Linked DNA regions of Daphnia pulex. The protein of the gene in region 1 binds, or shares a complex with, the protein of each later gene. Links are inferred from orthologs where the notes say so. Each region holds a gene or a part of one and is shown on either strand. Other genes may lie near its edges.

Region 1 (4,377 bases):
CTTACTGGATATCAGACAAGATAATATTTTGTGAACCTGATCGTTTGTCAGATCTAAGTTTGGAACTTCCACGAATAAATTACTCTCGAAATGGATTAGAGTATCGATTTGCTTATGGAATCTCGCAAACGGACGGTTACGCCGAATCAGAAAAGGTAATTTTCCGAGCATAGATTCCCCCTCCGTTATTTGAAATATTTTACTTTTGATTTCCACAGATCTTGAAACTTGATGTGAATTCCAGAGATGTTAAAATATGGGCAAAAACTGAATTCAGTCCATCTGAACCTGTTTACGTTTCACGCCCTGGATCGACAGATGAAGATGACGGAGTTATCTTGTTTTCTGCAGTACATCAAGTTGATGTTAAGAAAGTTTTACTCGTGATTTTAAATGCAGCTACCTTTGAAGAAGAAGCTGTCGTAGAGTATGTTGCTTCTGGAGTGGTGACGAAAGATTTTCATGGCCTTTTCTCTCGAACTGGCGATGCATTGCATGGTTACTGATATGAAATGAACTCTTATTAAACACAAGGGAATTTTTCTCCCAAATTATGTACTCTCTAATCAAACTAAGGTATTTCAATTTTGTGGGCTTTTAAATTCCAAAGAAAAAATGCTTGTAACTATTGATTCCACTTAAATTACAAAGAAATACAAATACAATATCTAAATACTTGTTCTGCAGTTTATTTTTTTTTTTTTTTTTAATTGTGAATAGCGCTTCTGGTAAAGATTTTTGAATACCACAAGTGAATGTGAATTGTTGAATAATCAGTTTACCTAGTGTTCCGAGTAGGTAAACTGGGTCTGTGATATCACCAATGCCGCACATGTCGCAGGACGCAAACGTGTTTCGTTTTCAGACTGCCAACAAAAATTCTCCCTAAACCACATTTCAGACGAGTCGATTGCAAACGTTTAGTTGATTGCTTTGAGAAAGTGGCAAATAAAAGCACGATTCATTTTTCACCACATATGATAAAAACTCATCATATACAATAAAGGCCGCTATGTATATTTTCGATATTTGGGTATCGATTTATTTTTGTTACATCCAGGATCTAGGTTGTTCGTACGAGTGTTCCGTTTGGCAACAACCTATTAAATTATTTTAATTTGTTGAAAAAAGTTTTTTTTTTTTTTCATTGATTTAAATTTCTAATAAATCAATCGAAATCATTTAAAAATTGAAATTAAATATGAAATATATAGATGAGATAAAAAATGTGCTTTGATTTTACTGTGTTTGACTATTATATAAAGTACTGCTGCAAACTACATGAAGCCATGAATAAAATTTTCCGTTTCAAGCCGAACCGAACAAAATCCGACCCAACCTATTGAGTTCGTAGGTTTGCCGCCTTTTGCCGCTCCGAATACGACTAAGGGGTGATTCAAACAAAGACTCGCGCTCCGAGTTTCACTTGTTTTTTAATAACCTATGGCGCTGATTCGCGGGTTAAGTCGCCTGCTCTTGTACTCTTCTTGTATATTCTGAATGCACGAGGATTTAGAAAAATAACCATCGATGCAAGAAGGAAAATCTTGCAAATTGCTAAACAAATTATTTTTATCCACAGTCTAATACGCTAAATAGGTAAGTTTATTCAAGAACTCGTAAACTTAAAGCGCCAGCTAGCCGACTTTTTTGGATGGGACTTTTTGGCTCTTGTTTTCTCCCGGTTCGTTTTGGTGGTCGTTTCTAACGGTAACGTTGGCTTTGTGTCCCGCACTGTCGTAATCAGATCGTCTCTCGTATAGGATTGTGTCATTCATCTGGGACTATTACTAGTCGATCTTTTCCTTCACATTTCTTATTAAAAGTTACCAAAAGATGATCATTTTGTCTTACTGACATTTGTTGTTGAGATTTGTTTTGGCATTCTGTTCTCATCTCTTATACTGGTTCCTCTAAACTTCAGTGCACAGTGTGTATGATCAAACGCCATGCCGCTTCTACGTCGTCAACCGTTCGTTCCTCAGCCACCTCCACTTGATATTCGTCCAGAAGAGGAAATATTCTATTTCCCTGTGACTAATGAAATCTTCAGAGACTATGAGTATGTATTTGCTTTTATCCAACATAAGCTTGTTAGTGATCACAGTCAAGCATGTTTGCATATTGTGAATCTTATATGTTACCGTTTTAATGCAACTTTACTACTGATAGCATTCTATGTTATCAGACGGTTTGTGCTGTTTTTCATCATCCCTGTGTTTGTTTACTTTCAGAGCATTTTTTGAGAGGACCATTCTTTGCAATTCTTTGGTTTGGTCATGTTCATTGACAGCTAAAAGCAATTTGACTTACCAAGAAGCCATTGAAAGTGAAAAACGAGCACTGCAGTCTGTTAGTGACATTCCATTAGAGGTACTCATTCAATTTTTGTATTTATCTCAGATCACTGATTAACATTTCTTTATCACTAGTTGAGGCAACCTCTACTTCTCATTGCTTCCCTCACATGCAGAGGAAAAGTAAATGAAACATGTGATGATGTTTATTACTTTATGAAAGATCGTTATTTCAAAAATGAACATGTGGAAGCAATTCTACGCTCTAAGTGGTATCCTGCACAAGTAATACGGGTTGTACCTCCTACTATTGAAGAACTTGAACAGTACAAACAAGAACTTGATGATGAGCTCAGCACAGAGGATAAACTATTGATGCTAGATCAATATGGGCCTCCACCTGAATTATTTAAATATGAAGTTAAAGAAGAATTCAACAGCAAAGATGGATCTGTTGGTCCCATTCACACGGTATTTCGGATTTTAATATGATAACTTTATACCATTGCGCGTCTAAATTATCAACGCTTTCATTTCTAGGTCACAGTAGATTGCATTAGAAGAGAAAAAGGCTTTTACTCTCGAGAAAGGGTACGGTTGTACTTGCGATACTGCTTGCAGTTTGATGAATGCGAGGGTATCTGGGTTGTTAAGGTCAGTTTAGACTACGATTGATAATATTGAAAATTATCTTAATCACTCATTAAAAATTGTTTTTCTTAGCCTGAAGCATGGAACAAATTGAATATGGATTCTATCAAATACTCTGAATTTTTTACGGGCGAAAAGCCGAGGTTTGAAGAAAAACGAGCTCCAAAGAAAGTCAATAAAAGCTTGTCAACTAGTAAGGGAGGTGAGACGCCCAAAGCGTCTAAAACACCCAGAACACCTAAAACACCATCCAATGACAAAGACAGCAACGGGAAGGGCACTCCGGTAAAAGGTACCCCAAGTAAAAGAGGGCAGCCGGACGCAGTTCGGAATGCAAAATCCGCCACCAAAAGTCCTAAGTTAGATGCTGAAGCGTTGGCGAAGGAATTCATAAAGTAATTGAAATTTTTATTCGTTCTGTTTCTTTAATACTAAAATGTCAATTTCAATGATAGGATTCGTGAAGAACGCGAAACTCTTAGGCAAATGGCTGATCAGCGAAAGCAACAAAAGGTCGACGAGAAGTTGCTGGCTAAAGAAAAGAAAAAAGAAGAAAAACGTGTTATGGCTGAATACGTCAAAGTATGGTTGAAACATAATATAAATAGAGGCAATTTATTTTAACAAATTTAATCCATTTTAGGAATGGAGCAAAATCCGTGAGGATTTAGAATGCGACGATCTTAAAGATTTGCCTTCGCCCACTCCTATTCAATGTGCCATCCCTAACGGTATCTTTGGAGACTTCGTTATGGTGTTGGAGTTCTTCTTGGGATTCGGCGAAGAATTACAATTGAAAGATGCTTTTCCAGGAGGGCTTACTTTTGAACTCTTAGAACGCGCCGTCGTAGAAAACGAAGTGTCTGGTCCTCTTAGCGATATTTTACAAACATTGCTTAGCTCTTTGTTCGAATTTCAAGACGCTGAATCTGAAGAAGTTAAAGAAGCTGGAAGTACGACAAGTGGTGTTCAGGAGTCAGAAGTCGAAGGCGGATTAACTTACCAGGTAGGTGACTCGCATACTATTTCATTTGATGGCTTTAACCTATAAGTTTTTATAATATACATATTTTTATTTGAAGGGTACTCCTCTTAAGAAGCTGTCTATGGATTCCTTAACCGTATCAGAAATATTACGACTTCACTTAATATCGTCTGGTGGCGGTAGTAGTGAACTTCGTACAAAGTGGCGGTATCAACAAAGAGGTGGATATAGTGCTGCTGATGATCCTGGTGTTCAGTTGCGTCAGGAAGATCCTCATATTCTACATGCCTTGTCTCACAGCACGGTATACGAATTGCCCGTCGGTGATAAAATGAAAGTTATCAAATGCCTTTGTCATCAAATACTCACATATGCATCAATAAGAGACATACTCGAAGAAAAGAGTACTAAATTAATCCATTTACGTCAAGAACTGAAAGCTCT
Region 2 (2,518 bases), on another chromosome or scaffold:
TCTTGTAGTTTCACAATTTGTTCCTTTATGAACCGGACCAATGTACTAGTCCACTCTATATAACAAAAAAATGATTATAATTGCAGATAAAATAAATTATTTAAATCTTGGAAACTACCTTGAGAGGAATCTGGAACTTGACGCTTTTTCATTTTGGCTTCAGAAATAGCCACTGAATACGCAGATGTCATCTTGATTAACCATATTGCTCTAGACATAGGAACCTGATATTCACTTAGTTGGATAAATATTTCTTCCTTCTTGTTGAATATTGGCACCTTGTAAAAGGAATCAAAAGTTGGTATTTTTATTTGTTTAAGATATTCTGAGTATAATATTACTCTTTTTCCTAGATTCATCAAAGGTTTGCTGCCTGCTAAGTCTTTGAACCAAGACTCAATGAATGCCTTGGACTTTGGAGTAACATTATGGAAATTTTCTTTGGGATTGATGAGTTGGCGTTTTCGGCCAGTATCAGGCAATGTGTTGATTTCTTGTTTTTTTGTAAGCACTCCATTAATAAAAGTTTGGACCTAACATTAGGAAAGAATAATAAAATGGTTGTCAGCCTAGAACAATCTATGAACATCATACTAATTACAGTAAATTGTAGTTTACCTTTGATAAAGAAAAGTTGTGATTTTTAGCAGATCCATACTCTTCAGACTGATTAAGATTGGGTGTATGAGAAAATCCTTGTTTCACATTGACAGGAGTCAGTTCATCCTAAAAATAGTATTCCAAATGTTAATGAAAGGAAAACATAAAGAATTATCCTTTTTTTTAAATGAAACTGCCTTTTGGCAACTAGCATTTTCGTACTTGGGCTCATAAAAAAGCTGCAGCTACATTCAAAATATTACCTCTTTTTGTTTGGGATCCTGTGGGTAAACATCGGGCGGTCCTAATCTCAATTTTTTAAGAGGACGATTTTCCATTGATAAACAAGCCATAACTAGCTCTAAAATCAATTTCCACGCAGAAGTATAAATTTGTTACCACACATCAATGTTTACACAACACAAGTACACAAGTAATCAAATACTTCTAAATTCTTATCAAGAGTTCCGATTTTCAGACCATGGTTCAGACAGATATATCAGTGTGATGGCTTTGCTACAACGTTGCATTTCTATAATTTGCTGTTACGGCACACATAAAGAATAATTGGAGATGAATGTATTTGAATTTTGGACTAATCGTAGTCTAGCAACTGAATTTAGAAATAGTTATTAATACAATTGGTATCAATTTATTATGAACAAATTAATGACAAAATATGCTCCTTGCATTTTCAATTTTCATTGATCACATCTTGGCAGTGCTGTAAAAGTCAGCAGACTATATTTTGAACATTTCTATTTTGGCATTTTGTTAGAAATTGTAGTGGCGCGGAATTGCTGAATTGATTGAAGTGAAGGACTAAATCAAGTGAAATTAAATTAAGAATGTCTTCCTTTAAACCGAAATTAGGAGACGGCTCCATAATATTACCACAAGCACGAGTAAAAATGATTATGAAGAGTTCCCCAGATACTGAGAGCATATCCACTGACGCATTATACTTTGTAACAAAAGCAACGGTATTTTTAGTTTGTTTCCAGATAATTTTTTCATCTTATTTTTCTCATCTTCATCTAAAATGTTTCAATGTTTTAAGGAGTTTTTTGTAGAACATTTAGCCCAAGAGATTTATGAAAGTACCAAAAAGTCAAATGAGCTTACTTACAAAGGTCTAGCTGACATTGTTCAAAAAAGTGATTCTATGCAGTTTCTCAAAGGTACTGTGTTACTAAATGGTATTAGTAAAATTTTAATTTATTATTATTATTGTGTTTTCAGATATGGTTCCTAAGAAAATAACATACAAGGAATATCAAGAAATTCTGAAGGAAAAAGGAAATGGTGACTTGTTTTGAGTGTTTATTCAAATTCATTTCTGTCTTCAACATTACTTGCTCATATTTATAAGTGTTCCACTAAGGAAAGTTCAATTTCAAATACATTGATTGAACCCATTGTTCCTTTACGATTCACATCAACTAAGATAGTTTGGTGGTTCAATAGACTGCAGTTAATGTACTGTTGTAATTAATTAATTGCGGTTTTATGTGACCATTTGTTAGCCTAAACGGGTGTGTCCGTATTTTTTTCTCCCTCAATTTAGCGTACGTTATTTTCAAACCACAGCTGCTGCAATAAGCAAAATGGCAAAGTTCAGCGTGTCACCCATAGATGGCGAAAAAAGCAGTCTAAAAAAACAAAACATTTGATTTTGATTTTTGACATTTTGACACTAGAAGGGCTACTCTAATTTCTAAAAGGATGGCGAACTCCAACCGTGTTACAGTAATACATACTGGATATTCTTCTACCACAATTGAGGAAAAAGACGAAAATCTTCCTTTCGTCCGTGCAAATTGCTCATGCGTATTGGTTACCGGCAGTAAAAATAGTAACAAACAGCACAATCCAAATATGTTCGCAATAACGTGATAACAGTTAATAAATTATTTTT

Evidence for each region. The genes of interacting proteins can lie anywhere in the genome.
Region 2: bromodomain adjacent to zinc finger domain protein 1A-like (region 1) and chromatin accessibility complex protein 1-like share a complex: the UniProt entries of both Homo sapiens proteins name them as parts of the CHRAC ISWI chromatin remodeling complex. The link is inferred for Daphnia pulex from reciprocal best matches to the Homo sapiens genes BAZ1A and CHRAC1.

What each region holds. Positions count from the first base shown.
Region 1 is NC_060028.1:6,190,425-6,194,801, reverse strand, and holds the start of bromodomain adjacent to zinc finger domain protein 1A-like, read left to right. Parts: upstream 1-1,436; 5' UTR 1,437-1,599; intron 1,600-1,924; 5' UTR 1,925-1,949; coding exon 1,950-2,062; intron 2,063-2,234; coding exon 2,235-2,373; intron 2,374-2,432; coding exon 2,433-2,768; intron 2,769-2,837; coding exon 2,838-2,951; intron 2,952-3,020; coding exon 3,021-3,343; intron 3,344-3,403; coding exon 3,404-3,530; intron 3,531-3,591; coding exon 3,592-3,954; intron 3,955-4,030; coding exon 4,031-4,377. Other genes in the region: carotenoid isomerooxygenase-like, read left to right, coding at 1-155, 219-506. UniProt on the Homo sapiens protein: Regulatory subunit of the ATP-dependent ACF-1 and ACF-5 ISWI chromatin remodeling complexes, which form ordered nucleosome arrays on chromatin and slide edge- and center-positioned histone octamers away from their original location on the DNA template to facilitate access to DNA during DNA-templated processes such as DNA replication, transcription, and repair.
Region 2 is NC_060025.1:6,928,252-6,930,769, forward strand, and holds chromatin accessibility complex protein 1-like, read left to right. Parts: upstream 1-1,332; 5' UTR 1,333-1,448; coding exon 1,449-1,583; intron 1,584-1,660; coding exon 1,661-1,781; intron 1,782-1,842; coding exon 1,843-1,919; 3' UTR 1,920-2,018; downstream 2,019-2,518. Other genes in the region: mediator of RNA polymerase II transcription subunit 12-like, read right to left, coding at 1-55, 119-278, 342-533, 619-726, 864-953; metallo-beta-lactamase domain-containing protein 1-like, read left to right, coding at 2,326-2,455. UniProt on the Homo sapiens protein: Forms a complex with DNA polymerase epsilon subunit POLE3 and binds naked DNA, which is then incorporated into chromatin, aided by the nucleosome remodeling activity of ISWI/SNF2H and ACF1.